2 linked regions of the Xenopus tropicalis genome follow. The protein of the gene in region 1 interacts with the protein of each later gene in a pairwise test. Links are inferred from orthologs where the notes say so. Each region holds a gene or a part of one and is shown in the gene's direction. Other genes may lie near its edges. The genes, in order: apip and pdzd4.

What was found.
Region 2: the proteins of apip (region 1) and pdzd4 interact in a two-hybrid assay, tested with the Homo sapiens proteins (2 studies listed by BioGRID and IntAct). The two-hybrid records come from large-scale screens. The link is inferred for Xenopus tropicalis from reciprocal best matches to the Homo sapiens genes APIP and PDZD4.

What each region holds. Positions count from the first base shown.
Region 1 is NC_030680.2:11,176,964-11,192,962, forward strand, and holds the start of apip (methylthioribulose-1-phosphate dehydratase), read left to right. Parts: upstream 1-8,131; 5' UTR 8,132-8,199; coding exon 8,200-8,247; intron 8,248-11,772; coding exon 11,773-11,873; intron 11,874-15,460; coding exon 15,461-15,509; intron 15,510-15,999. Other genes in the region: pdhx (pyruvate dehydrogenase protein X component, mitochondrial), read right to left, coding at 1,063-1,146, 7,570-7,687. UniProt on the Homo sapiens protein: Catalyzes the dehydration of methylthioribulose-1-phosphate (MTRu-1-P) into 2,3-diketo-5-methylthiopentyl-1-phosphate (DK-MTP-1-P).
Region 2 is NC_030684.2:26,597,870-26,613,914, forward strand, and holds the start of pdzd4 (PDZ domain-containing protein 4), read left to right. Parts: upstream 1-8,894; 5' UTR 8,895-9,372; coding exon 9,373-9,432; intron 9,433-16,045.

The sequences.
Region 1 (15,999 bases):
CATTACCCATAGATAAACAGTAAACACTGCAAGCCCCACCCACTTCATAACCATGGGGAGGAGAGCAGCCAGGAGAGTAACATAAAGGGTAATAACAGACTCAAGAGGATAAATACAAATGTTTCATTTAATAGGTTTTACCATTTATGGAATTTGGTTTTTACTGGGAATGCTAAATGTATTGGAGTGTACCAAGCAAAATGCCTTCTGATGTTTTGCTTCCCCTTTAACCAAGGAAGGTTATTTCTCTTGCAAAAACAGGGTTTATAGCGTGTGTGTCCTTCGCAAGACCCTCTAAACGAGTATACACACATTGGGTGCCACCGGGGAATACATCCTATCAAGCACTTCACACCTCCAGCATCACTTCTTATTGGTGTGTAATGGGCTTTTTATACACTTAAAGGGCCAGTCACGCCATAAAAGTCAAAGGATATTTACAGTACCATGTTACATCGGTTTGTCAGCTGCAGATACATTATTTACTGACCACCAACGGCGATCTTTTGTGAGAGAATTGCACTTTTAATGCTAGATGTCTAGAGAGAGTCGTAAAGGGCATCTGACCTCTCACTAAAATCAATGTATTGTAACAGCGTCAGCAAATGTGGGTCCCACAGCCCAACTGTCCCTTGCCCCTTGGCTATTATTATTATTATCTGAAGACAACGCTCTTCAAAAGTGTTGATATTTAACCGAATATGGCACCCCCGTCTTCTTGTTGGTGTTACTGGCCCTTTTACATGGAAATCACGAGCAGTACTGGCATGGCTGGTTAGGCTAGCTGCAGTTTATGCTGTGCAACAGTGCCCTCTGCTGGCTATGCAGAAGATCTACAAGTGTTGGGTAAAAATGAATGTATTTATACCATTAAATGTTTCCCTACAAGGGTACAGTGTACACAGAACTTTCTTTCATTGCGTATGGGTTGGAGCTGCCATGCTCCCCTTAGGCTGCACAGTATGAGAGCACAGTGGGTGTTGGTGCTCAGCACTGCTTTATGTGGCACTGAGCACCAACACCCCAGTGAAATGAATGTTTTGATTAGGTAACTAAACTCACCTTCTTTTTTCATCCACTTAACGATGTTTCCCTCCTCCATGGTGGGGGATAGGGCAGGCATGAAGACCTGGACGCCGGGCACCCCTAAGGGGGGGGGAGAGAGAATTTGGTCAGTTCAGCACATTCAGGCCTATATATAGGTTCTTACACCTGACAGCAGAGCAAGGCACTGACAGGCTGAATAAACATGAGCATCCCTGTGTAATAATCACATCACCGTGCCTCCGGGCACCTTCACGGCCTACAGTAAGTGGCGCCGCCACTCGCTTCATGTAAATGCCAACTGGGTGACAAACATGGATTTTTTGCTAACTCTATAAACAGACTCTGCCCCCCCAGCACCTCCATTTACCACTGGGATTAACTGAGATAAGAGTGAGGTTTGAGCTTTGCCAACGCTCCCTAGCAGTGGCATTAAGAAGCGAAAGGGGCCGAGGCCCTGGGACCAGCGTGCCAAGTGTTACACCTGCTCAGGAGAAACCGTGTAATGGGATTAGCAGGATTACATGGGGACCTGATTTAGGAGGTCAGAAGCAGAAGATCTCCTAAGCACGGCACACGTTACACACACATGCAGCCGGCCGTGCCCCCCTCCCCGTGTCCGTGCACCCCATGTGCCGTAGCCAAACATCACACGGATTTGCCCCAGTTCTTCCTGTCCTGTAGGAAGAAGCCCTGATGTTGGCTAAGCACACTGCATACACAGACATTTTTGTCTGATGTGGTTTATTTCCCCTTTAATGCTTCCCAAGTCCAGCATAGGAATCTTCCCGTTGCTGTAATCGGGTTATGGCTGAATGACTCCTGCCTCCTGCCACCTGCCTGCGGGCCTGGGGGGGGGGGCCTGTTGTTGGATCGGGTTGAATGATTGGCCGTGACAGCAACGAGACATTTCCTGGAAGGAACACACACTTGTCACCTTGGTACGAATGCACCCATCTCTGCCTGTGTGGGTGCCAACGCTGGGCAACAGAGTGGGCACATAGACACCCAACCAAGTGGCCAAGCTGCACCCATGCATTGTGCACTAACCACTTTACCTTATGCATCTACAGTATTGTGTGTTTGTCTATGGGAACGTGCATGGATTTTATATCTATCTGTATATATGTGTGTGCATTTATAAAAGAACGGGGGAGCAGAAGAGAGGCCGGAGGATGTAAACAGATGAAGAGTCGGCAGATAATCTGTTATCTCCTCACCATTTTACCATGACACTATTCCTGGCCCCCTCTTGAGGGCTGACCTCATTTTATCGGCTTCCCTGCAGGCAGGGGGTAAAGCAGCCACAAGGTTGTAAATCCCGGTCAGCTACTGCCACCTACTGCACATAATGCGCATAGCAGCCAAAAATAAGATGGAACCCCCCTGTGTGCCAGTCTGCAGTCTTACTGGCCTCGGGGTTGGGCACCAAGTCCAATTAGGGCTTGTGGCTCATTAATTAATCTAATCACAATTCTGCAGTTCTGAATCATCAGCTGCTTCCTACATCAAAATAACACCCCCCCCCCAGGCCAGACTACAACCAGAGAGAGCATCAACTAAATAGCATAGATCTGCCTTCTGATTTATATGTCATTTACAAACCAGGGACAATAGCAGGGTGACTGTTACCCCAATGTTTCTATATATCTGTAACCTTGTTATGGGCTAAGGGGGCCCAGCCTGAAGGCCAGTTAGGGGGGGATTTGGTGTGAGTGCTTATTTGTGCCCTGGGTACCCCTGGAACTATAGCGGGGTGACTGTTAGCCCATAACAAGGTTACAGATATATAGAAACATTGGGGTAACAGTCACCCTGCTATAGTTCCTGGGGTACCCAGGGCACAAATAAGCACTCACCCCAAATCCCCCCCTAACTGGCCTTCAGGCTGGGCCCCCTTAGCCCATAACAAGGTTACAGATATATAGAAACATTGGGGTAACAGTCACCCTGCTATAGTTCCAGGGGTACCCAGGGCACAAATAAGCACTCACCCCAAATCCCCCCCTAACTGGCCTTCAGGCTGGGCCCCCTTAGCCCATAACAAGGTTACAGATATATAGAAACATTGGGGTAACAGTCTACCTGCTATAGTTCCAGGGGTACCCAGGGCACAAATAAGCACTCACCCCAAATCCCCCCCTAACTGGCCTTCAGGCTGGGCCCCCTTAGCCCATAACAAGATTACAGATATATAGAAACATTGGGGTAAGGGGGCCCAGCCTGAAGGCCAGTTAGGGGGAGATTTGGGGTGAGTGCTTATTTGTGCCCTGGGTACCCCTGGAACTATAGAGGGGTGACTGTTACCCCAATGTTTCTATATATCTGTAACCTTGTTATGGGCTAAGGGGGCCCAGCCTGAAGGCCAGTTAGGGGGGGATTTGGGGTGAGTGCTTATTAAAAGCCATTAATATCACTTGAACAGACCGACTTTTATGACCATAAAGGGAAGACTAATGATCTCTTTGGCCCATGGTTGCATGCCGCATCTGCCCCTAACCCACCCTGTTTCCCCAGCGGTGGGACACCTTGAAATGAGTGGCCCTAAGTAAATCCACCACTGATGATGATGCTTTTTTATATATATGTATATCAATGGTGTGTAGGCGCCATCTCAGTGCATTGTGCCTGAGTCTGAGCTTTCAGCCAGCGCTACACATTAGAACTGCTTTCAGCTAACCTATTGTTTCTCCTACTCCCATGTAACTGGAGGAGTCCCAAGCCGGACTTGGATTTCTTAGTATTGAGTGCTATTCTGATACCTACTGGGAGCTGCTATCTTGCTCCCTTCCCATTGTTCTGCTGATCGGATGCTGCGGGGGGGGGGGGGGATATCACTCCAACTTGCAGCACAGCAGTAAAGTGTGACTGAAGTTTATCAGAGCACAGGGCACAGTTCACATGGCTGTGGCACCCTGGGAAATAAAGAATATGGCTAGCCCCATGGGAAAAACAGTTTACAATGCAGGATTCTGCTGGAGAAGCTCTATTAACTGATGGGTTTTGAAAAAAACATGGTTTCCCATGACAGTATTCCTTTAATCAGAGTAAATGAGCTCTGTATAAACAACACCCTCCTCTTTTCTTTTACTGATGCTGCTTTCTACTGACTGATAAGGACAAATTCATTATTTAAGTCAAACACTTCTGCTTGTTTAGTAAGGTCATTTTCAGCCTGATTTGGCCACCCACATGCTAGATTAAAACTGGTCCTATAGGTGAGATTGTCACCATTTTCTTTGGAAAAAAAATACTGCCCTTCCTATATGTTTAATCTGTCTTCCCTATTACAGGTATGGGACCTGTTATCCAGAAACCAGTTATCCAGAAAGTTCTGTATTATGGGAAGACCATCTCCCATAGTCTCCATTTTAATCAAATAATTCACTTTTTTTCTTTTTTTAAATAACTTGCTTTTTCTCTGTAATAATAAAACAGTACTTGTACTTGATCCCAACTAAGATATAATTACCCCTTATTGGGGCAGAACAGTCCTATTGGGTTTATTTAATGGTTAAATGATTCCCTTTTCTCTGTAATAATAAAACAGTACCTTGTACTTGATCCCAACTAAGATATAATTACCCCTTATTGGGGCAGAACAGCCCTATTGGGTTTATTTAATGGTTAAATGATTCCCTTTTCTCTGTAATAATAAAACAGTACCTGTACTTGATCCCAACTAAGATATAATTACCCCTTATTGGGGGCAGAACAGCCCTATTGGGTTTATTTAATGGTTAAATGATTCCTTTTTCTCTGTAATAATAAAACAGTACCTGTACTTGATCCCAACTAAGATATAATTACCCCTTATTGGGGGCTGAACAGCCCTATTGGGTTTATTTAATGGTTAAATGATTCCCTTTTCTCTGTAATAATAAAACAGTACCTGTACTTGATCCCAACTAAGATATAATTACCCCTTATTGGGGGCAGAACAGTCCTATTGGGTTTATTTAATGGTTAAATGATTCCCTTTTCTCTGTAATAATAAAACAGTACCTGTACTTGATCCCAACTAAGATATAATTACCCCTTATTGGGGGTAGAACAATCCTAATTGGTGTAACACTTCATTGGCCACAGTTGTTGCCCCACCTGCTTGCACTCTATTACTGCCCTGGTGGTGGTAACTGGTACAAAGCCGACTGCATTGTATTACTGGCCCAAAGCTCATGTTATGGTGTCTCTCACCCTTATGGGGGTATTGTGCATATAGTTTGGTACATTCTCCTGTCCCAGACTCCTCTCTCTCTCTTACAGCTGGGCCAGTGTATAATGTAATGTGTTATCCAGAATGCTCGGGACATGGGGTTTTTCTAGATAAGGGGTCTTTCTGTAATTTTGATCTCCATACCTTAAGTCTACTAAAATATCATTTAAGCATGAAATAAACCCAATAGAATCCCGCACAGAATCAATTTTCAGACCGGGCCCACATTTTTACTTGCTTTGACCCGCAACTGCCTAATCACCACCTGATCTGCTGACCACCATTAAAAAGGAAGTGCGGTTGCTGCAAAGTGGAAGTGACATCATCAGAAGGGGGCGGGGTAGAAAAATGTTTAAAAAAAAAAATGTAATATAAGACAAGAAATATGGAGAAGACCTGCAACCGGAAATCTTACCGGCAGGGTTGTTTAAGTGAAGTTGAACTTTCCCTTTCAGCCCATCAGTTTACCATTAAAGGGGAACTCCGGCTTCCGAACCAGAAGTTGTGAAAGAGCCCCACACGCGCACAGAAACCCCTAATATCCCTATCCCTGTAATCTGTTCCTTCAAGAAGTATAAATAAATACTATTTTATATGCTGAAATCCAGCTGCAAAACAGCTCTTCTCTTTCTGCATCATCTGAAATCCTGGCAGGGGAGGAGGGACTAAAACATTGATGTTACAAATGGTAACAACTTCTCCCCAGCTTACAGGCAGCATGCAGGAACTACATAACCCACAATGCATTGCACTGGGATGTTCCTTTGCTTATTGACATCACGTGTGCAGCAGGGAATTGTGGGATTGGGAGGAGGCAGGCTGAGGACAGGCGACTACGGTTACATTTTATTTGAGTCTCAAAGCAGTCAGCCAATCAGCAAGGGAACAGGGGGCGGGGCTTAGGGGACTGTTCCAAACCAGATTGTTGCATTAAATAGCATGGAAAGGCTGTATGATTTTCAAATTGATTCAAGTTGCTTGAAATGATGTTTATTTGTCAAAAAGCTTGAGTTGTGTTTGGGTGCGGTTCCCCTTTAATAAGTAGTGTTTATAAAACAAGACTGCACATTGAGGCACCCACAGCATTTCCTTGTTAAAGGCATTTGTTGATAATGTTCAGCCCATCCCACCTGTGACCACGGAGCCTTGGGGTTCAAACCCCACCAGAATCACTTTAAAGGGGACCTGTCATCCACACATAAAAAGCTGTATAATAAAAGTCCTTTATGGACCCCAAAATTATTTTTTTAATTAAACCAAACCAAATCTTTTATTAATTAAATCACCCATACCTGTTATAAATGTATTTAAAAATCTGAGCTGTCAATCATACATTGCCTGCCCCGCAGGCAATATATGACCGACAGCTCAGATTTTTAATTACAATTACTTTAACTTTCCATTCAGCACTTCCTAGATATTTTGGGGGGATACAAAGCTTTGCCTTAATAACAGTGATTACAAAATGGCGCCGACCTGCTGGCTGTGACTGTAAACTCCAAGAGCGAAGGGGAAAAAAAAAACCAAATAATTTATACAATAATAATAATAATAATATAATACAGTGTAAGTAAAGTTTATTTTGCTCAACTAACGTGATAGAAAAGGATTTGGAATTATTTCTTAGGGTGACAGGTCCCCTTTACCTCAGGGGCAACTGGGGAACCCCCATGGGGCAACCTCAGGGGCAACCTCACTGGCAACCGGGGAACCCCCATGGGGCAACCTCACTGGCAACCGGGGAACCCCCATGGGGCAACCTCACTGGCAACCGGGGAACCCCCATGGGGCAACCTCACTGGCAACCGGGGAACCCCCATGGGGCAACCTCACTGGCAACCGGGAACCCCATGGGGCAACCTCACTGGCAACTGGGGAACCCCATGGGGCAACCTCACTGGCAACCGGGGAACCCCATGGGGCAACCTCACTGGCAACCGGGGAACCCCCATGGGGCAACCTCACTGGCAACCGGGAACCCCATGGGGCAACCTCACTGGCAACTGGGGAACCCCCATGGGGCAACCTCACTGGCAACTGGGGAACCCCCATGGGGCAACCTCACTGGCAACTGGGGAACCCCCATGGGGCAACCTCACTGGCAACTGGGGAACCCCCATGGGGCAACCTCACTGGCAACTGGGGAACCCCCATGGGGCAACCTCACTGGCAACTGGGGAACCCCCATGGGGCAACCTCACTGGCAACTGGGGAACCCCCATGGGTGAGTGTTTGGGGCAATGGCAGCTACAATAAGCAGCTAGAGATACAAAGGAGCAAGCAAAGCCCCCCCCCCCGGCCCTACTTACCCCTGAGGATCCCGGCTGTGTGTAGGGCCCTCACTCTGCATTCTCCGTTACGACTCCGGAGCCCCCCGACAAATGACCTAATAAACCCCTGACAGCCAAGTCTCAAGGAGGCGGCCATATTGCGGCACCTCCTGGAACCAAGGACCCCCCCGACCTGGGCTGCCTTGTAACCCGCCTGATACAAATAATAAAAAAAAAGCTGCCAGAAATCCTATCGACCAACCCCACAAGCAGCGTTACAAAAGCACCGTTTCCGCTCTGTGAATAGAAATGTCACAGCGCTGCGCTGGGGTCCTAGGGAAACCGGCTGCCCGGTCACCGCCTTATTTAGGATCAGGACCCTGGGATAGCCGTCCATCATACTGCCTGACAGAAAATCACGAATAATATCCTCGGCGGTGCCGCGTAACACTACTGTAACTTTGTGGGAGTAACGCGACGTTATTAGCGTAAAAATTGCGCGTTCGAAAAAAGAACGGAGCTCTATATCTAGCGGAACGGTGAGGACCCCGGTAGGGCTGCCCGTAATTGTGCCTGTCTGATTGCTCTATAGGCAGTGTATGCATTGCACAGTAACACCCCCAGCCCTACACACTGAAGCACATCCCGGGGCTGCCCTGCCTGACAGACATGTATTACTGCAATAGAGACAACTGCAATCAAACAGACAATGCCAAGGTAATGCATGGGCTAATGGCAGGGAGAGGGGCAGCACACAGGGGCAGGTAGGAGTAGTAATACTGAATGCTGCTCCATAAAAGACAATGTAATTCTAAGCAACTTTCCTATAAACATATTTATTGCCCATTTTCACTGGTTTTAAAGTTATTTCTCTACGTAATTGCTACTAAAGGCAGCCTCTGTCTGTTTTATCTTTCCTGCACTGCTGGTTCTGACTGCTGAAACACCTTCGCAGAAACCAGCTAAATAACTGTGGTGCTACATTGTCAGAACCAGAGAACAGAAAGGGGACAAATACTGCTTTCAATAGCAAGTACATTTACACATTTAAAAAAAAATTGACATTTTTAATTACTTCAAATGCAGAAAATTAATTTGGCAGTGATTAATAGAGGAGTTTCTATAAGCAGACAGCGACTAACCCTACATACCAGCTATAGACATTTGCACCAGTTCCACTGATCCATAGGAGTCAGTAGGGTGCACTTGGGTGGCCTTTAGGTTAAAGGGGATATAAACCCTGCTGCACTTCTCAACCAAACTTTATTCAGTTGTTGCTGGACTACAAATCCCAGAATAATGTAACATATAATAAAGGTAGAGGCATGCTGGGAGCTGTAGTCCAGCAACATCAGGGGTTGTATTCTTAAAGGAGACATATCCTATAAAAATTATGAATGTACCAGTGTATTATACTCCTCTAGATATAGAAGGATTGTGCTTAAAAAAGTTGTGACTGATTTATTGAGAAATTCCACAAAAACCCCACTAGTCCCGGCCATCTGTTCCACTTCCTGCTGGCTGAATTTTCTGGATGAGCTGGGGAGCCGGCGGCCCTCCATACACTGCACTGTAGGATAGGAACCAATCAGCAGCTAGGCTAACCTGATAGGGAACTGAAGCCTGTCTGTGCTTGTGTGAGTGCAGGGCTGTGATTGGCTCTCCCCCTCCTACTGTACTTCTGGCAGGGACCGTTAGGACACACCCACCCCTCATTTCACACTGGACGGAGAAGTGATAGGATCTATAGGGAGCTCCAATAAAGGGGCCATTTTTACAGATGGGATTCATTTTTAGCCCAAAGTGAAACCAGCACCGTATATTATTAATAATTGCCTACAAAATAAGCATTTTTCCCAATTATGCAATATGTCTCCTTTAAAGCAATATTGCACAATAAAACATTTCCTAAACTTTCCCCTATATCTTCACCTGCCCCTAACCCGCCCCTTCTCCACCCGTACCCAACCCGGCCTACAGTTTTGCATCTATTTATAGACCCGAGCCTGCCCCACCTGTGACATCACTGAGGGGGGCAGACACGTGCCTATAAAGAGACGCAGCCAGACCCAGAAGTAGGGCTCAGTTAGGATGCGGGTGGGGAGGGAAGAAGAAGAAAGACTGGACCCGCAACCTTTATTTTGATGTTGCGTTGTCACTACTTCAAAGCAAGCGTCTTCTTTAAAATGCAAAAAAATCTCCCAATGAGAATCCCAGCTGATCTGTATAAATCCGGCTCCATGTTCTCTGTTCCTGCAATTGGAGTTGGGAGCATTAAACCCAGTTTCCCAGCACTGAACAAGTCTGCCCTTATCCCCATGTCTGATTCCTGTGCCATATAATGAGGGGAAAATGCCATCATTATCTCTATATATATTTATATTTTTCACATTTTAAAGCAGTCGCTGGCTGCGAAGATTTGGGAAAAAGTTTAGGAAAAATATTATTGTGCAATATTGCTTTAAAGGAAAACTATACCACCAAACAATATAGGTCTCTATAAAATATATTGCATAAATAGCTCATATGTAAAACCCTGCTTCATCTGAAATAAACCATTTTCATTAAAAATATACTAATTTAGTAGTATGTGCCATTGGGTAATCCTAAATAGGAAACTGCCATTTTAAGTACTAAGGGCCGCCCCTGGGATCACAGGAGTCACAGTGCATACAAACAAGCCAAGGCACACATACATGCTAGGTCTCATCAGCCAATGAATGGGCAGAGTTCTGCCTGCTTTGATTTGTAGTCCAGCAACACCTGAGTAAAGTTTGGTTGAGCAGCGCTGTGCAACAGGGTTTACATCCCCTTTAATGTCTGTTGGAACAGGGGCTATAGGTTACAGTGCAGTGAGGGGGCTACAAGGTTACAAAGTGAAAGGATGTGGTGAGAACATACCAAATGGGTCTTGGGTGTTGGGAGAGGCAAGAGCTACATGGAGGGGCCATAGAAATCAGAATTTAAGCTTTAGATGTATTTTTGGGGGGGAAGATAAACCAATACCTAACAATAAAGTACCCTTTATGGCTAGCACTGGCACAGGGTATTATGCAGAAGCTATATTTATATACAGGTATGGGACCTGTTATCCAGAATGCTCGGGACATGAGCTTTTCTGGATAAGCGATCTTTCTGTAATTTGGATCTCTATAACTTAAGTCTGTCAAAAAACATTTAAATATTGAATAAAACCAATAGGATTGTTTTGCCTCCAATCAAGATTAATTATATCTTAGTTGGGACCAAGTACAGGTACTGTTTTATTATTACAGAGAAAAGGGAATCATTTAACCATTAAATAAACCCAATAGGGCTGTTCTGCCCCAATAAGGGGTAATTATATCTTAGTTGGGATCAAGTACAGGTACTGTTTTATTATTACAGAGAAAAGGGAATCATTTAACCATTAAATAAACCCAATAGGGCAGTTCTGCCCCCAATAAGGGGTAATTAGATCTTAGTTGGGATCAAGTACAGGTACTGTTTTATTATTACAGAGAAAAGGGAATCATTTAACCATTAAATAAACCCAATAGGGCTGTTCTGCCCCAATAAGGGGTAATTATATCTTAGTTGGGATCAAGTACAGGTACTGTTTTATTATTACAGAGAAAAGGGAATCATTTAACCATTAAATAAACCCAATAGGGCTGTTCTGCCCCCAATAAGGGGTAATTATATCTTAGTTGGGATCAAGTACAGGTACTGTTTTATTATTACAGAGAAAAGGGAATCATTTAACCATGAGATAAACCCAATAGGGCTGTTCTGCCCCCAATAAGGGGTAATTATATCTTAGTTGGGATCAAGTACAGGTACTGTTTTATTATTACAGAGAAAAGGGAATCATTTAACCATTAAATAAACCCAATAGGGCTGTTCTGCCCCAATAAGGGTTAATTATATCTTAGTTGGGATCAAGTACAGGTACTGTTTTATTATTACAGAGAAAAGTGAATCATTTAACCATGAAATAAACCCAATAGGGCTGTTCTGCCCCCAATAAGGGGTAATTATATCTTAGTTGGGATCAAGTACAGGTACTGTTTTATTATTACAGAGAAAAAAGAAATTATTTTTAAAAGTTATAATTATTTGCTTATAATGGAGTCTATGGGAGATGGCCTTTCCGTAATTCGGAATTTTCTGGATAATGGGTTTCCGGATAAGGGATCCCATATCTGTATTATAAAATATAAATCACTGGCAGTGTCCTCTCTGTCCTTTTCTGTGTGTTAGGATAAAGCACATCCAAGGAATCTGATCCCGGAACTTTGCCGACAGTTCTATAACTTGGGTTGGGTCACAGGAACCGGAGGAGGAATCAGCCTTAAGTACGGGTGAGTTATCATTCCTTGCTGCTTATGGGCAAGTAAAACAAGCACATCATAACATAGCGTGGGCTAGTAACCTATAGCAACCAATCAGGTTTATCACCTAAAGGAGAAGGAAAGGTAAAAATCACTGGGGGTGCCAAATGTTAGGTACCCTCAATGATTGTAATCGCTTTACCTTTACATTCCTTCTCCTTTAAAAACGTGACCTGATTGGTTGCTGTGCGTTAAAGCAATACTGGTTTTACAAAACCCATCAGTTAATAGAGCTTATCCAGCAGAATCCTGCATTGTAATCTGTTTTTCCAACGGGGCTAGCAATATTCTTCATTTCCCAGGGTGCCACAGCCATATGACCTGTGCTCTGATAAACTTCAGTCACACTTTACTGCTGTGCTGCAAGTTGGAGTGATATCCCCCCCCCCTCACCCCCAGCAGCCGATCAGCAGAACAATGGGAAGGGAGCAAGATAGCAGCTCCCAGTAGGTATCAGAATAGCACTCAATAGTAAGAAATCCAAGTCCGGCTTGGGACTCCTCCAGTTACATGGGAGTAGGAGAAACAATAGGTTAGCTGAAAGCAGTTCTAATGTGTAGCGCTGGCTGAAAGCTCAGACTCAGGCACAAGGCACTGAGATGGCGCCTACACACCAATATTACAGCTACAAATACATTTGTTGGTTCAAGAATAAAAGTTTAAATGGCAGAGGGAATTATTTGCTGTGTAACAGTGTCATTTAGAAATAAATAGTACCCCATAAAAATCATGACGGTATCCCTCTAAGAAACATCGTGATTTTTGTTACAGTACCTAAAACAGCAGCTGTCCTATTTTACTTTATGGCTGGGATCCTGGATAAACGAAGGATCACAGCCAGTATCCAAAACGTCAAAGCAGGGTCAACTTATCCTTTATCTGAGAGGCTTATTGTGATTTGCCATACTGCAGCCTGTGGCTAATATAGAAAGCTTAGCTACGGCAGGGACAGCTTTGTGCCTTATGTTACACTCAAATTTCACGCCAATATGGCGGTGAAGTGAAGGGTAAGTTAAATTACAATCTTTTTCAAATTCTGAATCATTACAAACAGAATTCAAGAACGAGCTCTCCTTGCAGTCATATAACAGTTCTACCAGGTTTCACCAGGGGGCGCCATACCAGTATAAATCTGCCTGTGTCTCAAACTGGAAGATCAGCATTGTAACTGGTTCTGAAAGGTGCAAATTCCTGGCGCAGCAATGCGGTCCCCCCTTAGGCTTCTCTTGTTTTGCTATTTGCATTAACAAACCTCCAGGAGATTAATCTGCTACTAGCACACAAAGCGGCCATTAGTTTCCATGAAATCAGTTTACAAAATCTATAGATCAGTAACTGACTCTAAGGGCATGTCCTCATTAGAGCTTTTAAGCACTTTAAAGGGCATCTCAACCCCCAACACAGTAAATGGCACTTTTGTGTTTTTACTGATTTTAGACACATTCATTAGATCTTTTCAACACTTTAAAAAGGGGGCAGGGTGTGAGAAAGTAGCAGGTTTGGACTGGTAATACCAGGTCTTTGGCTTAATAGCTCTTTCTGAAAGTCCCAGAATCAGCAAACTGAGGGTTAACTGACCCTACAGGAAGTGCATAGACAGGGTCACTGATGCTTTCCCCTTTAAAGTGCTTAAAAGCCCTAATGAATATATACCATTAGAGTCAATTAGCAGACATTTTCTTTTTATCCAGACTGGATTCAATGCCCTTTACCTGCTGTATGTTCACACAAACCTTGTGCACCCAGGAGTCACTTAGCTGCTGTAGAATCATTGGTTATGGCAATTAGGATATGTGACACTGTCACAGGCTTATCTGATTCCCATTGTAAGCAGCAGTCCTGCCCTGCTTTATGGCTGAGATTCTAGCTATCTGTATAACAGAGCATTCTGTCACAGTGGCACAGATCCTATCTGATCCCCCCATTGTAAGCAGCAGTCCTGCCCTGCTTTATGGCTGAGATTCTAGCTATCTGTATAACAGAGCATTCTGTCACAGTGGCACAGATCCTATCTGATCCTCCCATTGTAAGCAGCAGTCCTGCCCTGCTTTATGGCTGAGATTCTAGCTATCTGTATAACAGAGCATTCTGTCACAGTGGCACAGATCCTATCTGATCCCCCCCATTGTAAGCAACAGTCCTGCCCTGCTTTATGGCTGAGATTCTAGCTATCTGTATAACAGAAAGTTTTATTCTCTGCCGGTTTCTGGCTGGAGATGACTATTTAACAGAAATGCAAAGAATCCTTTAAATGTCAGCTGACAGTTACAAATGACACGTGCCAGTCTTTTCGTGACCCGCCGTTCCATTTCAGTGCCTGCTGCTGGCTGTAACATTTGCCTGACATTGGATAAGCAGCGCTGCGTGAGTTACTTCCCTCTCGGCCATAGAAAGCTGCCAATAACTTCCTATCTCCAATCAGATGTGTCAGGACGCTGAGGCCCGAAGGGGCGCACAGAGACATTTACAGACATGCCTGTTTAAATGTTACGCTGATATAACCTGTAATATATGATTGTTATTCCACTGGCCGGGGGGAGCCGAGCTCCTCTACCCTCCTCTTTATTTCCTTGTTTTGAGTCAGACATAGAAACATGCAGGAAGTGTTAATGCAACCCTGTCATTGCCTAATGGCCACGTGCCTTGTATGTATGTTTCTCGGATCCCTAATGCATGTCTGGAATCCCAGCCGTAAAGCAAAACACACCTGCTGCATGGATCTTTGCACTATTGTCAGGTGACTGTTGTGACCCGATGCCTTATTACATGTATATTTGAATGAATGAACAGAATTAGTCTCTTTTATTTTGACTTCCTGGTTGCTAGAGTAAAGCTGGCCATACACTTGTAGATTGTAAGCTCTTTTGGGCAGGGCTCTCTTCATCTCTTGTATCGGTTATTGATTGCTTTATATGTTACTCTGTATGTCCAATGTATGAAACCCACTTATTGTACAGCGCTGCGGGATATGTTGGCGCTTTATAAAAAAATGTTAATAATAATAATACACAGCCCCCTATAAGCTTCTGTTCCTGCCCTGCTTGACCAAACGTTACTCAGTTGTTGCTGGACTACAAATCCCAGAATAATGTAACATATAATGAAGGGTGAGGCATGCTGGGAGCTGTAGTCCAGCAACATCAGGGCTGTATTCTTAAAGCAATATTGCACAATAAAACTTTCCCCCAAATCCCCACAGCCAGCGACTGCTTTAAAGTGCAAAAAATCCCTCCAATGAGAATCCCAGCTGATCTGTATAAATCCGGCTCCATGTTCTCTGTTCCTGCAATTGGAGTTGGGAGCATTAGCTGGGAATCAGCATTCTCATTGGTCACTTCTTCTGCATTTATAATGAAGTTTTTTATCAGTAGAATTCTCATTGGTGAATTTTCTTGCATCTATAATTATGTTTTTTGGCAGCTTCTATAGCAAAACTAGGGGGCGCAGTGGGAGAGCATCATGGCTGGGTTTATATCCCCTTTAAAGCTCTAATCGTGGTCCGTTCCTGATCCTGACAAACTTGTTATGACTTTAAATCCCTCTTTGTTTCCCCTTAGGGATGAAATCTACATTGCACCTTCAGGGGTCCAGAAGGAAAGAATTCAGGTAAGGGAACGCCACTGCTGAGACTCGCTTACTATCAGGTGTTGACCGAGGCACAAAAGCCGGCTGGATCGGATTTGCCACAATGCACAAACTGCCAGCCCGGGCCTGCTCACTACCCTTCCGATTGCACCCCACTCATTGTACTGAGGCAGTGTGCCTCTTCTCCCTGCCCCTAGTTCCGGCGCTGGCCCTATGTACGTGCCCCCTGATTTTCTGTCCTGGCAGCAAAAGCTCATTTAGAAGCCTCTGGAGCCGTTGCTGTTCTGTCTGCCCTCTGGCGGGGCAATTAAGGGAACCTGTATCTTCACTGTCACTTCTTTGTTGGCCTCTGCACATTCCTATAAACGCCGTCACTGTCTCTTGTGTCACCTAGAAAACAAAACCGTATCTGTCTCTCCCGTTTGAAGAGCGCCAGCATAAATATGACTTTAATCCTCCTCGCCTCCCTCTTTCCTGTTAATTGCTGCCTTCCAATAAAAACATTATAGGA
Region 2 (16,045 bases), on another chromosome or scaffold:
AATACATTTTATCAGTGGCTCCTACAGTACATGAACTTTCCAGCAGGGGAATGACTGGTTATTGGGCCCCACAACAACATGATTGGGCCCCTACAATTTACGTAACCAATGCAAAAAGCTTACGTTACTCTTAAAGAAACTTACGTATAATCTCCACTGACCCCCCCAATTAAAATACTGACTTATTAGCACATTAATTGTTTTTACTATTTTTATAAACTACTACTGACTAGTTATTGGGCCCCACAGCAAGTTCATTGGACCCCTAAGCTTACGCAGTTTGCGTAACTTATGCAAAAACATACGTAGCTTCAATACCAAGCAATGACAGCGCAGAACAGGGGCAGGTAGGTGGGAAGGGGTTAAACTTAGGGCAAACGCCACTGGCCCCCAATAAACTGACTGACTTATTAGCACATTAATCAATGGAACTCTTTATATAAACAGCTTATTATAGAGTAACATCAGCTGTTTATATTGCACACACAAGAGGTATGGCCAGTATTTTGGTACTGTGCGCTTGTGTTTATGGGGGGCCCCATATAACTAACTTGTGCAGCGCCCCGAAGTTTCTGATGGCGGCCCTGTGAGCTCATACGATGTATATATGGGCAATATCCTAGGGGCGGGGAAGAAAGGAGACAGCTTCATCTATACCTAAACAGGATGATATCATTGATGCTATCACTTACAAAGGACCCGTGTACACTTCAGAATCCTTACTGCTTGGCATCAGCACACTCTCATCAATCATGTGTAACTGAGAGCTCAACATCAGGTTTAAGAAGATCTGTGCTCAGCCCAAAGGGGAAAAATACCATTATATATATGGTGATTGGGGCATCCCTCTGATTACCACCCTTTTGGACCTATTGGTTGAACAACATGGGGGTGCACTCTTGTATATAGCACGTCTTTTTCCCATGTCACTTGTTGTATTTCCCGCCATACACGGTATTTATGGTTTTCCCCCACTCGTTTGTGTAACTTTGAGAAAGGCTGGTGTTCCAGCCGAAACGTTAGTTCACTGTTGGCAATAAAAAATCTTTTCTATCTACATAAGACCTGCGCGAGCGGCTTCTATCTCCTCAGTATCTACTATCTTTTCGAAGACTGCACCCAAGCGTATTAATATCTCCATATACGAGAGTGCCGGCGGCTTACACTTCTACATATATATACTGTATATAGTGGAAATGTTTTTCCATGCCAAACCTTTTATAAAAGCAAATCAGTTTAGTTTGTTGTACAGTCTGGTGCTTCCAGGTGTCCCCTTGCTTGAGCTGGGTGCATATCCATATGGAACTACTTTTTAAGAGGCACCTAGTCTAAGATGATGCATATGTAACACCTGGGAGCCTGGGGTAAAAGGGCAACTTTGGTCCCTGGCATCCGTCATTATTTTACTTGCCTTCCTATAGATTTATACGCTTTATAGTGTTACATGCTCCATTAGACATACATAAAGGGAAACAAAATATGGGAGTAAAAATAGTCTATAGCTGGATATTTATTTGTCTATTTATATTTTCTAATGAATGGGAGCTGCCATATTACTTTTATCTCCTAAGAAAAGCCATTTATTTTGATCAGTAGATGGTGATATTCTATTGTTTGCCGCGAAAAAAGCAGAGAAAACACAATATGGCAGTTACGGCTCGTTTATGATTGCAAATCTGTAGGCATGGATTGTGCTGTGAATATAAAGAGCAATAATCCCATTATTAACCATCTGTTAAAAGTAAAATAAATTGCAAGTAATCTCAAATTATAGGCTATAAAATAATCCAGAGTCTCTGCTTGATCCGCTTTGAGGTTTATGAAGTTGCAGCACAATCCGAGTGGGAAAACACAAAAAGGCTGATACCTCAAATGGATAAATAAATCCCACACTGGGGGGATCCGTGCAAATGATAAAATAGGCACCAATTAAACGAAGCTTTTTGAATGGAGTGCCAGCGTGCTATTCATTTGTATATTGAGCTGCTGGCACGGCTCTTATAATCAGGCATATACCTCACATTACATCATTTATATTTATTCACAGAAGCCAGTGCAAATGTGCCTCTAGTGCAAATGTGCTTAGTACAGGGGTTATGGCCTTCCCCCGGCATATGGTGCCTCTATGTACAAGCTAGAAGAAAAATGAAGGTCTTGCTACAATTCCAGTTGCGCATTACTATGCCCCCCCCCCCCCATGGTAGCTAAGCCAATTGACCACTTCTGGTTGGGGCAATATAACATAATAGGAGGACTATGGAAGACGATAGGGCTGTCATCTGAAATCATGGGGACCCATTATATTTTCCTCCCCCCCCCACTGGGCCAAGAATGGGGAAACAAAAATAAGACACTTTGGGGCCGATTCACTAAAGTCCGAAATAAGGAGTGCTATTTATAGCATGCGTTAAAAATCTTATCACTTCTTATTTTTCGCTCGATTCACTAAAAGGACACTTGTCATAATTAAGAAGCGATGTTCTTGGCGTTATTTATCGTACAATGTCATATTTTAATGAAAAAAACTATGCGATAAGCGTTATAGGGGCCCATTCACTAAAGGTCAATAACGCTTATCGCATAGTTTTTTTCATTAAAAAGCATGCGATAATTAAGTACCGATTCATCAAAGTCATTTCGCATGTGTTAATCCGCATATCGCATGCACAAAAAAAACGCATTGCGTTAATTAGCGAATAGAAATAGTACTAACGCATGATTCACAAACACATATGAAGCGTTAAACATGCAAAATATCGTGTTAATCTGTGTGAATATTAACCCTACTTGGGGCAGGCGGTACTTAAAGAAAATTGCGGTTCGTGAGCTATTGGCAACACAACATGGAGTTTGCAGTCGTATTTTTTCAAGTATATGTTGGCCCTAGAGTGATGCATCCTCCGGTTTTCAGGGAAATGGTGGTTTTCAGAAAGTAATGGTTACGTGCGTAATATATTGCGCTCTGCATAAAATATCGCGCGCTGCGTAATATCTTGTGCGCTGCGTAATATATTGCTTGAAAATATGTCATCGTAAGATAAATAACGCCAAGAACATCGCTTCTTAATTATGACAAGTGTCCTTTTAGTGAATTGAGTGAAAAATAATAGGTGATAAGATTTTTAACGCATGCTATAAATAGCACTCCTTGGGCCTGATTCACTAAAGGGCGATAAAACGTGCGCTATTTTTATTGTGCGCTAAAATTTTTACCGCGGCTTAATTTTTGCGATTTTTTGCACGATTCACTATAAGCATACTCGCGCTTTTTTACGCGCGATATTGCATGCGTTATTTAACTCGCGAAAGGCTATTTCAATGCGGTATTTGCCGGTACATGCGCTAAATACGCGAATAATCGCCGCATATGGGGCCTGATTCACTAAAGGGCGATAAAACGTGCGCTATTTTTATTGTGCGCTAAAATTTTTACCGCGGCTTAATTTTTGCGATTTTTCGCACGATTCACTATAAGCATACTCGTGCTTTTTTACGCGCGATATTGTATGTGTTATTTAACTCGCGAAAGGCTATTTCAATGCGGTATTTGCCAGTACATGTGCTAAATACGCGAATAGTCGCCGCATTTGAATGGTAGCATAGAAATAGTGTATAAAAATTGTTGCCGCATATAAATGGTGTATATAAATATTAGCCACATATAAATGGTAGCATATAAATAGTAGATGCTTATAAATAGTAGCCACTAGTGATGAGCAAATGTGTTCTGGTTATCTTTAGTGAAAAATTAGCAAATCTTTCAAAAGATCCACGAAACGGCAAAAATGTTGTGCGGGCAAAAAAATTGTTGCCCGTGACTATTATTTTTTGGCACTATCAATTTTTGGATGTGCGGTGAATTTTTGCGTGGCAAATTTTTTCATGCGTTTTGCCATTGGCGGATTGTTTTGAGAAACGCATGAAAAAATCCGCCGCGAAAAAAATTCACCGCATGTCCAAAAATTCGCTGCGAATCCATGCCTGGCGAAACATTTCATCACTTGTAGCCAAATATAAATAGTCGCGCAAATGAATGCACGCCATGTTAGCCATACACGCCAATACTTGCAGAAAATTACTGTATTAAAAATGAACATTTCGCTGCAAACTGGCGGCTGCGTCACTCTGGGGGAAACACAGACTTGAATAAATAACACTGTAAGTCCATATTTTATTGCAAAAAATCATTTACTGTACTTTTGTATAATTTTTCGCCTGCCTGTAGTAGGTGTTAATTTTCACATAGCCGAATGCGATATTTAGCGCGCAAAAGTTATAGTGAATCATGCAATCATATTCTTTTCAGCGCAGAAATTAACGCAAAACGGTAAAACTAGTGTGAGAAATACCGCATGCGAAAATGGCGATTTTTCGCACGCGATAATACTATGGTGATTATTTTGCGTTTTTTGCGTTTTTTAACGCGAAAAAGCGTGCGATCATTTTTATCGCCCTTTAGTGAATCAGGCCCATTATATCCAAGACACCAACAATCCGCCAATATCCCACCCACTGTCCATGCACCCGACCCCTTTGCGACCCACAGAATAGAACTTAGCATCTGCAATAGGGCCCTCTGCCTGGACTCTGCTGAGAGGCAATAGCAGCCTAGGCAAGCCTACAATATCCAAATAAGCCAATAACATCCTTACTGAATGTGCTCTTATTGTTATAGACAAACCCAACTGTGGAATAAAAAGAATGTAGGTTTAATGGCGTTTTAATTAATCCAGCAAGGGGAGGCATTGCCAGTAAGAGGCCTTTTTATGATAAAGCAGCTTTTCATTGGCTTACTTGGTCACCGGGGGTCTTATATGTCTTGCCAAGTGGATATCTGATGGAGGTTTTCTCCCAAGGGTGCCTCACATATACCTGATTGAGTGCAATGTGCCCTCACCCATATTTGCCTCATTTCCATCAAGCTAGATGTTACTGATAAGATAATAGAGGGGGTTCCTTAGCAAGGGACCTATGGGATAAACAATATATTCTTTGTGGTTTTGATATAATCAATCTCCCTATCCCTGGGTTGTTGCTGGACATAGCTCTCACCCCCCTTAAATACACAGTATTCCCTCTCCATCCATGCAATATATCTTACCCCTCCCACTCAATTTTCCATCTCCCCCTCCACACATTTATAGGGTCATTTTTCACTAATGGTGGGGGCAGTATTTATTCTAGATAGAAGTGCCTAACTAGTGGAGATCCAGCTGTTGAACTATGACTCTCAGTGTCCCCTGACAGATATTACCTGTCATTGTTTATTTCTCTTCATTCTGTCCCAGTAACAATCACCCCTAGCTGCTGCCTGCTCAGTCAAGAGGCATATTTGAACTTCTCTCCCCCAATACAATAGCTGTGTCTTCTTGGTTACTTATGGTAGATCCCAGTGTCCTGTTAAGAACATAGATGTCCCTTCCCAGTATACTCCAAATGACCATATCTGCTTATCTGTGCTGGATATAAATATGACCCATCATTCCCTGCCCTGCCTCAGTTTCTCCCTCCCTAGCCAACGGAAGGCTCACAATTGTTAATAATAAAGAACAATATGCTTTTAGATCTGTGTCCCTTCAAAAGAATTAGAAGTGAGTTGTCTCGTTGTCTCACACCTCATTAGACTGTCACAATAAAGACCTCTTACACAGCACATTACCCAAACATCACAGCACAGCCCCCACAAGGCAGACCCAATCAGCCTGAGCCAGAGAGAGGAACCGCAAGACATGACATAACTTGGAGCCTCCTGCTGAGCTCTTCTAAATAATGCAATAGGAATCTATAGGGAGAGAGGTTTAACACTTCTCTTTTATACATGCAAACAAGATGTACTTTGTCATTGGCTTCTTACAGGGGAACATCTCCCCATACCCTACCAGGTCATCTGGTTTTTGATTATTTCCTACAGAGCAATTAGCGTGACCCCATTATATTCTGCCCTACTGGCGTGCTGCTGTTATATTTTTATAATCATGGAAAACCTCTGCAGATAATGGGAAGGTACATCCCTTGATTGTTTTCACTTTTGTTGTCTTCTCCTGCCCCTCAGGGAGTGTGCCGTGCAAAATAAAAGTGCACTGGAGTCTGCCTAAAGGCTTCATACACAATAATACAGATATTAGGTTGTGTTTATGTTGGGAGAAATGTTGCACACAAAAAATGCAGATATTGTATAGCTGTTGAATGCAAGTACTGGATGTTTAGAAGACTAACATTTTATTCCTAATTCAGTGGCTCTCAGTGGGCCACTGAAATGATTGGGCTCCAATGTACCAGCACCTGTTTTCCCATTGATAGTTCTGAAGGAAGTTGAGTTTCCCACCATTCTGGACATCAAGGAGGTGAAGTAGTGCTGGAAATCAGATTCTCCCAGAGTCACCCAGACTAAGCCAGGGGTCCCACCCTTGTAGAAGGTTGCTATGGGGATCCAGACCAAAGTTACAGGAGGCTGTGGTTATCTCCAACAAAACAAATATATGGCATAGCTAGAATCGGATGACCAGACTGGTATGACTATGACTGAATCACATCTTGTGCCTATAGAGGTCACCATAGCTTAACCCCGACCAGGCTTCCTTTGTGGCACAGAATTTTAATTGGGCAGCCTCCATAGAAGTTAAGCCCCAGAATTGAAAAAATGCTGCACCATGCATTGTGCCAACACTCCTGAAGTGGCAGTCATTTCTCTGCAGCAGTTGCACGTTATATGCTGGCCAGGGGGGCAAATAAGGTAAAAGGTGCCCCCCTACAGCTGCAAGGAAAAAATGTACATGCCGTCCCCATTTATCTGCATATTTGTATTTATTCATATGACTTGAGCTCCTCAGATACCCCTGTACCCCCAGGTAATTACTCTTGTTCATTAGACTATAAGATGCATTCAGTTGCCAAGCAAAGTACAACTCTGAGTGCAATTGTTGTTTTACCCACAATTCTGCCATCATTGCAGATGCAAACGGCAATTCTTTTGGCACAACCACGTGTGTTTGTCATTGTAAATCAGGCACAATCCCACTAAATATTTTCCAAGTTTGCCTGGCGTCATTTCTGATAAGCACCGCGTGAGTGAAGTGTATGCCATATTATTTTGGTGCAAGTGTGCTGTGTCTTTTAACACAGGGTGCTAAGGGAACCATGAAGCTATCATCTTCATCACTGGAAGTGGCGGTGCAGCAGTGCCTGTTTGAAATGAAAGTCAGGAAGAAGTGAGCAGCGATGAGTGTAACTATACAGTAAGGAGTGCATTTTCTTTAAAGTGCAGTTCCTTTATAGAAAAACTGCCAGAAAAAGTGCAAGTTACCCGCTGCACTTGTAGATGTAAATACGATAATGCTAGTGTCGCTTTAACTTTAGGTTCCACCAGGGTCGGATTTGATTACATGGCACCCCAGGGTCACCCCATTTGTGCGCCCAACCCACCCCCCCACACATGCGCACCCCTTTAACTCATTTAGCAGTGGGGAAAGGACGCGCTGAAGTTTCTGTGTATCAGATCCCCATTGCCACATATTTGAGCAAATTTCATTGTGGCTTGGGCGGAATGTCGCCCCTAAATATGTGGCGCCCTAGGCCCAGGCCTTTGCCTCACCACAAATCCGGGCCTGGGTCCCTCGCAGTTTGTGGACTGCAAGTCTCAGCATATATCAATATAAGGGATGCACCGAATCCAGGATTCAGTTCAACAATTCCTGGCCATTTAGGGTTTTTCTTCTCCAGAAGAAACACAGGGCAGTGTGCAAACTTGAGACACAAATTAGCATGTTTTTTACCCATAATGCAATGCCCCCCCTACAAATTCCAGCATCATTATAGCTGTACTGACTTGCATCTGCCACAACTGTGCCCGATGAATATAGGAAGAATAAAATGCTTGCTTTGAAATTACTCTGCTCATTGGTTGCTAGGGAGTTTTACCACAATTATTAGTCAAACATTCCAGCTGACAGTTTCTGCTCATCCCTTAAGCTGACGGCCATGGCTAACTGGCGTTACACATTAAGGTGTCAGGTTGTCTAGGACTTCATATATAATGAGATTGTTTATTCCCCTTAAATAAAGAGGCCACTCATAAAGGTAACAACAGAGTATGTCATATCAGACTTACTTGCTTGGCTAACTGCCTGTAGATACCAGCCACAAACTGGCCAATACTTTCTGCGTAGCCATGCAGAATGCACGCAAATGAATGACTCGTTAGCCATAAAGCACATAGATATGGTGCTCCTCTGCTCGAGGTGGCCTCTCCAATAAAGTAACTGCTTCAGTGGTAAAGCGATTAACTATAATTAAAAATGGCAGAATGGTGTGAAGAACTGAATTCTCTGCAATAAAATCAACAGACCGTTGCATAGGGACAGAATCCAATGGAACCCAAGGGCAGTTTACAGCTGAATGATGTGCAGACTCGGAGGTTTATCTGTCATGTAAAGGGTTAAATTGACTGATGAGTCAAGGAACGCTAGTCTCATTGCATATATTTCTCACCTGTCCATTCTGATTCTTTCCAGTCACCCAGATGACTTTAACCCAATATGAACCAGTGCTGTGTAATAGCCTCCATGTCCCCCTATTGCATTCCTGTACCCTGTAGCTCCTGTTGTGCTTCCTGCCACCCCTCCCTCCATGTCTTACATGGCCAAAGCTCAGGGCTGCTGATAAAATTCTCTCAGCAGTTTTGTGCCTGTCTAACAGATTGGCTGTGAGTGTTACACCAAAGACCATCCATATTTATTAGCTACCTTTCCCTCTCTCTCTCCCTCCCTCCCTTCCTCCTTCTCTCACTCACTGCACCTCCCTTCCTCCCTCCCTCCATCCTAGCAGTGCTGAGGCTCGGCTGGAGCCAGCGAGGAGGAGAAGGCATGCGTGTGGGTTCTGCGGCAGGCAGAGAATTGGGCACAGGTGCCTTCACAGCTATCTGCATGCAGGGGGAACATGGAGACAAATTCTTGCTGAAGACCAGCAGCCTAATATTTTAAGAAACATATTTGAAGGAAACCAGTGTAGATGCCTTGCTGGTACCCCATTATTTGGGCAAGAGAAAAAGGCAGCCTGGAGAAAAGACTTCTTTATAGTGGGAGCAGGAAGAGACGTGGCACCCCATTTTTGCAAGATGTGGGGGACAGCTGCATGTCTCTTCCATACCAAACCAAGGCTTCCCCCCCACCTTTATTCACTCCCTCCCATGGATTAACTGCCTTCACTGGATGGATAATCAAGGGGCTTACGACTTCTGATCTAGGGCTCCTTTCCTTCTGTAAACACCTTTTGGATGCTACAGAAGAGGCACTGAGTGCACATTTCTGAGAATCCAGGCAAAACTGGGGGTGACCAGCCCCCTCCCTCGTAGACCTGCACCCCCTTGAAGCTAACATGGGATGTAACATGTGTGTGGTTCGCAAACCAGAGGAGCATTACAAAGTGATGCTGCAGGTATGAAAGGGAAAAACAGGAATGGAGTGGGTGGCAGGTAAAAAGAGGGGTGTATGTTAACTATCTGGGGGTGGCACAAGATAATGTACAGTAACGTGGGCTCAAAGGTCGATGTAGGAGAGGGTATAAGAAGGTAGAAATAAAGAACAAGGAAGGATTGGGAATGTATAGAGATTTGCTCAGGATGGAGGAATGGGGAATTAAGCAGAGAAGAGGGTAAATCTGGGAAGGGGTAGAAGACATGGTCTGATGGTGGCAAAAGCATGGAGAAGAAAAGAGGCAAGGAAATAAAAGAGATAGTTTTGGGGAAAGATGGAGGCTGAGGTTGGCTAAGGGCGAAAATGGGTCTCAAACTTATAACAGGGATGGTGTAGAAGATAAAGTGGCTTCAGTGGGAAAAATATGAAGTTGAAATAAATAATATGTATGTGTTTGCTCTTTGAAAGAAATGTGAAAATGTATGGGGTTGAGGAGTTTACATAATTGAATAGATAATGGCTACATGTAGAAATGGGAATCAAATGAGCACAGAGTATGAAATGTGGATGATGATGTTGAGAATTTGGCATTGAGAAGGTTATGGATATGAGAGGTTGTCAAGGATGTAAGTTCAGTCTGACAGAGAAATGGCAACTACAAGTAGGTAGAATGTGGAGTTTGGATGGAGCCCTGACAGGGGGCTGTGTGGGACCCTTGGCACATAACATAGTCGCAAATATAAGGAAACAAGAGAGAGATAGTCATTCCGCTGAAGTTCCAGGAGTGCCCAAACAGCAATTCCGAAGATACCTCACCCCCTTATCCCATACTCCCCTGGGTGTGTTCATCCCTATAGTTTGGGAACCTCTCCACTGGAGTTTGGGAGTTTAGGGTGGCAAAAGCATTCAGAACAGTGAGAGCCAATAAGAAATAAAATGACAAGGAAACACTGGCAGGAAAATCAGAGAAAAGGATGATGGCGGCAATGATTACGGAAAAAAATAGGAAAAAAGTGGGCAAGGTGAGAGTTAAATAGTGGGAGGACAGACTGGTGGTTGAAGCAATCAGAAAATAGGTACTGGAGATGCACCAACCATTTATGGCACTATCCTGGTCCACAATGCCAAGCACGTGTACACTCGCAAAAACGCACGTGCCCTATGTAGAGCCCATATGGCAACTTTAATACGAAAAACCAATGGCAAAATTATTGCCAAGAGTATGATACAGGTTCTGTATTATTAATGAGGATGAGACATGGCTAAAGTCAATGGGATATGCCAAACAGAAGCACAAACACATACAGACACATACACTTAAGCACATTCATGTTCATGTATTGCTGTTACCATACATATATTTAGTCTTCTACCAGACCTGTACAACATAGTGTATCATACTTACAGCACACACAGACAGGAGTGTAAGCTCCAGCCCATAGTACATCTCTTATAGACGGTGCAGGAGGCAGTAACGCTGCCCCAATGCAAGAGCTCTAACACATATCCCAGACATTTTCTGCTTAGAGCAAACTCCCTCCATTTTCTGCCACCTTTCTCGAGTGCATCAGATTGGTATTTGGGGTAGAAATTAGGTATTGTGGCTGCTTTATTGAGATACAGCTTCAGCTAGCCTGCTAGGCATGTGTACTTTGTGTCTATATGAGGTATACGTGTCTGTGTTGTGTAAAGCATAACTGCATATACAGTATAATGCACATGTGCATACATGGCAGAGCTGTGCATTTGTGTATGAAATCTCTGTATGAATATACATCTGTTTATTTCTGTGTCACACCATTCACATCTCTATGTGAATATTATGCTTCCCAATGTGTGTGTGTAATGCAAATATGTGTGTTAGGACATTCTCATCTATATGTGTCTAGTTGTATACCCTGTCTTTGTGTACACAATGCACATCTGTACCCCCATGAATAAGATTCACATCTGTGGTTCCCAGCAGGAGTTGTATTTGTGTATATAAGAGGCAATGATTGTTGAGTGGCCATTATTGTTTTGTGTGTGTATAGGGTGAAAGATTAGATGCAAGAGTTGTGTGCGTTGGGGTGAAATGGTTGGGTGTGTGGTGCTGAAATGTGTGTTGTGGGGCAGTGTTTGCAAGTAAATGAATGGAGTGTTTAGGCGTATGAGTCCAGGACCTGTGTGCGTCATTACATTTTTGTATCATAAATGTGTGTTTAGAGGGAAATATTTGGGTTTCGGGTTAGTTTGGGGAGGGGTTATTGTGTGTATGTGTAGGGGGGATGCTGGACTGTGGGGGTTATTGTGTGTATGTGTAGGGGGGGATGCTGGAGTGTGGGGGTTAGTGTATGCATGTCTAGGGGGGGATGCTGGAGTGTGGGGGTTAGTGTGTGTATGTGTAGGGGGGATGCTGGAGTTGGGGGGGTTAGTTTGTGTATGTGTAGGGGGGGATGCTGGAGTGTGGGGGTTATTGTGTGTATGTTTAGGGGGGATGCTGGAGTGTGGGGGTTATTATGTATATGTTTAGGGAGGATGCTGGAGTGTGGGGGTTATTGTGTGTATGTGTAGGGGGGGTGCTGGAGTGTGGGGGTTAGTGTGTGTATGTGTAGGGGGGATGCTGGAGTGTGGGAGTTAGTGTGTGTATGTGTAGGGGGGATGCTGGAGTTGGGGGGGTTAGTGTATGCATGTCTAGGGGGGATTCTGGAGTGTGGGGGTTATTGTGTGTATGTGTAGGGGGGATCCTGGAGTGTGGGGGTTAGTGTGTGTATGTGTAGGGGGGATTCTGAAGTGTGGGGGTTAGTGTGTGTATGTGTAGGGGGGATTCTGAAGTGTGGGGGTTAGTGTGTGTATGTGTAGGGGGGATGCTGTAGTTGGGGGGGTTAGTTTGTGTATGTGTAGGGGGGATGCTGGAGTGTGGGGGTTAGTGTGTGTATGTGTAGGGGGGATGCTGTAGTTGGGGGGGTTAGTTTGTGTATGTGTAGGGGGGATGCTGGAGTGTGGGGGTTAGTGTGTGTATGTGTAGGGGGGATGCTGTAGTTGGGGGGGTTAGTTTGTGTATGTGTAGGGGGGATGCTGGAGTGTGGGGGTTAGTATGTGTATGTGTAGGGGGGATGCTGGAGTGTGGGGGTTATTGTGTATACAGTATGTTTAGGGAGGATGCTGGAGTGTGGGGGTTATTGTGTGTATGTGTAGGGGGGATGTTGGAGTTGGGGGGGGTAATTGTGTGTATATGTAGGGGGGAGGCTGGAGTGTGGGGGTTAGTGTGTGTAAGTGTAGGGGGGATGCTGGAGTTGGGGGGTTTATTGTGTGTCTATGTAGGGGGGAGGCTGGAGTGTGGGGGTTAGTCTGTGTGTATGCTGGAGTGTGTTCACTGTCGAGAATGGTCATTATGGCTGTGGGTGGCAGCAATGTTTGTGTAAGGGTGAGTGGGGGGCAGTGTTTGCTGCTATGGGGGGTTTTGAGTATTGGTGCCAGTTTGTTTAGATGTGGGTAGCAATGTTTGTTTTGCATTTGTTTACCTGCCATGTGTGCTGGGCACAGGGTAGGGAGTTCAGTTACCGGAGGCGGGGGGTGCATATGTTGGGGACATATATGAACAAGTGCTGCCAGCAGGACACTATCTGCATGTTGCTCTGCATGTTTATACATCACCACTGGCATTCCTAGCCCCCCACTCTAGAACAGGGGAGGGAGCAAAGGAATCTTTGACCAAGTGCTCGGCCGCTGGAGTAGATTCCTAATTATGTTCTGATTTGCTTTGATAGCTCAGTGACAACCTGGGGTCTATTTACAGTTTGCAGACAAAGAAGGGGAGGCAGTTTGGGGCTGTTTCCAGCCGGAGAGCGGCAGCCCTACCAGTACTCACCCCTCTAGTTGTGTATTCTATGTACGCAACAGCCCGACAAGGGACTTTCCTTGGCCAAAAAGGACTCTCCCTTGGGAATGTAATGCCTCCTGTTTGCACAAGGCTACACAGCTATTCCTCAACCCTTTAAATACTGAATTCTTGTGTCCTTCAAAACTAATGGCCTCCCACGTCCCCTACCTCACCCCCTTCAAAACCAAATACTTATAAATCCCATGTCCTGTAAATGTAATTAGCTGGTGTTTTAGCCTGTATCTGCTTTTATATGGTCATGGAACTCATTGGTGACATGTAATATCCTTATATTTTGCAACAGGGGGTTATGTATAGATTGTTTGCTAAGTAACCATAACATTCAAGGCTGTATTATGTGCTAGTTTTTAAATGAAAGAGGTGGCAAACCTATGTTTCTCTAATTACATTACTGACCCCTTATTAAATCAGAGGTGTAACTTTATTTTCATGGGCTCCTCACAAAAATATGATTTTAGAGCCCCCCATCCACATCACATAGCTGCACACTCACCATTTTCCTCCATACCTGCATTGGTCAGATGGTGTGGGTGCAGACAGGGGGGAGGTTGTGACTGGAATACAGACTCTTACCAGGCCCCCTCTCCCCTGCCCCACAGTTATGGGGCCTGATTAAACCCAACCATCTGCAGTGGTGCTGTGACACTACAGCTCCCACCATGGTGGTTTAATGTGTTGTTTTCTCTCTGCCATCCTTCAGTGGAACTAGAACCTAGGTAGGAGGTTTTTGTGTCCTTTTTTACCCTCAGCTGCTGGCAGGTTATTCTGAATGGTCCCTCTGTATCCAGAGAGCTTTCATGATTTAAGCTCTTATATCAGTACATCTCTAGGTACCAGGCATGTCTTTATAATATGGCTTAATATTACCCTTTCTAGTGTAGGTTTGGGCCAGTAAGGCTTCCTTCTCATTATAGCAGTCTGTTCCCCTGCATATACTTCTTCCCCTTCTACCCCTTCATAGAATCAATTTTTCCAGCCTTTTCTTCATCAAATGCCCTTTCCCTCCCCCCACATCCCTTTTTATGACAATGATACCCCCCATCTCTCTCTCACTGCACCTTTTCCCATCTCATCTCTCCTTTGATCCATCTGGGAAGGTTTTTCCGCCGGCAGGATGGAGAGGGTTTAATTATCCAGATAAAGCCACCTTAAATCTTCTGTGCGGCTCCACTGGCAGCAGCAGCCGGTAATGATGAATCTTGTGATTTCTGTACTGGAGCAGAGACTCCTGTGTGTGTGACTGGAATAGGGAGCCGGATCAATAGGAATGGGGGAAATTGAGATGAGAAGGGCAGGAGAAGTGAGGAGTGCTTGTGTGAAGTGTGACAGAAAGCAACTTATAGCAGCGGTGACCCCCCCTTTCTATTCATACATGTTACAGAGGGTTCCTAATACATAATAATAACTGCTGGATTATAGGCTGCCCTCGTTCCGCATACCAATAACAAACATCTGACACCTAATCCACAGGCTTGTGATGTCTCCCTACTGTACCCAGCTGGATACTTCTCTTATACAGACAAGATGTACTTACTATCATAATCACACACCCAGAGCTCTGGGAGCACCTATCCTTGGCCCATGGTAACTGCCAACCCATTCTAAAGGCCACCCGCCCCAATTCTAACCATTACAGTATATATAATATTTATATCATGGTCCGTGTGAGGGGGAGGGGGTTACGTAGTAACATGGGCATAGTTTGTCTCATTTTGGTAACCAACAGCAACCAGATGTTTCCTATAATTATTCCAAACTGCACTCAACCAAGCTATCTGCTGAATGGTTACTATGGGTTACAGGACTAGGAAAACCGCTTGCTGTTGATACTGTACAAACTGGATGGGTAGATAAGAATTAGTACCATGCCATAGATACTATTGCTCATAGCAAAAGCATTTCAGGGGTCCTGGCCTGTTTTGCAAGACATCCACTGGGCCCTATGTACCATAGGCCTGCTTTAGGATAGGCAAGAGCAAACCTGGAGTAATATGCGGTGGTCTTTTTTTTTTGTGTGCCCAGATGATGGCACTGCATCACCACCCATTATGCTTGTGCCCCATAAACCCAGAGTTACAGAAGCAGTGGCCCTTGCAATACGAGGACGGGGCTCCAGTGTCCAATATTTGTGAGTTGTATATTTTATCAGAGAAAGTTGTACAGCTGAGGGGCTATTCCTTGATCTATACATGCCTAAAATATTTCCTAACAATATAATATGATCTTTCATCTTTATGCCACTAAGAGAACTACTGATGCTGGGTAAGCGGCCCATCTGCTCATGGGCTGCCACTGCCAATATTTTATCCTTCCTTAATAAACCATCCCTGGTCTCCCTCTATAAATGTAAAGTAGATGTGCAGCTTGACTTGCAGGGCTTGTTCCTTGCTGCCCATACACAGTGGCCTCAACCGTGGCTTGCTGGGAAAATATAGAACTGTGGCTGTTGAACAATGCATTGCACTGCTGCTCATCTCGATAAATCATCCCATCCGACTTCTGTTAGATTTCCTCCCCTCATGGGGCGTCTGTCAAGATCAGCAGCAGAAGACACACACTGATATCTCCTATATACATGTATCTATCTGACTATATAGAGTTGTTCACCAATGCATGAAATGGCCTGTGATTAGTAATGCTGTCCGGCCAGCTTCAGGAGCACAGTTTGATAGAAGAAACACAGTCGAGTCAATTGCATTTTATCTCTGCACTTCAGAAAGGCACTTATTTGATTAAATATTTGTATATATAT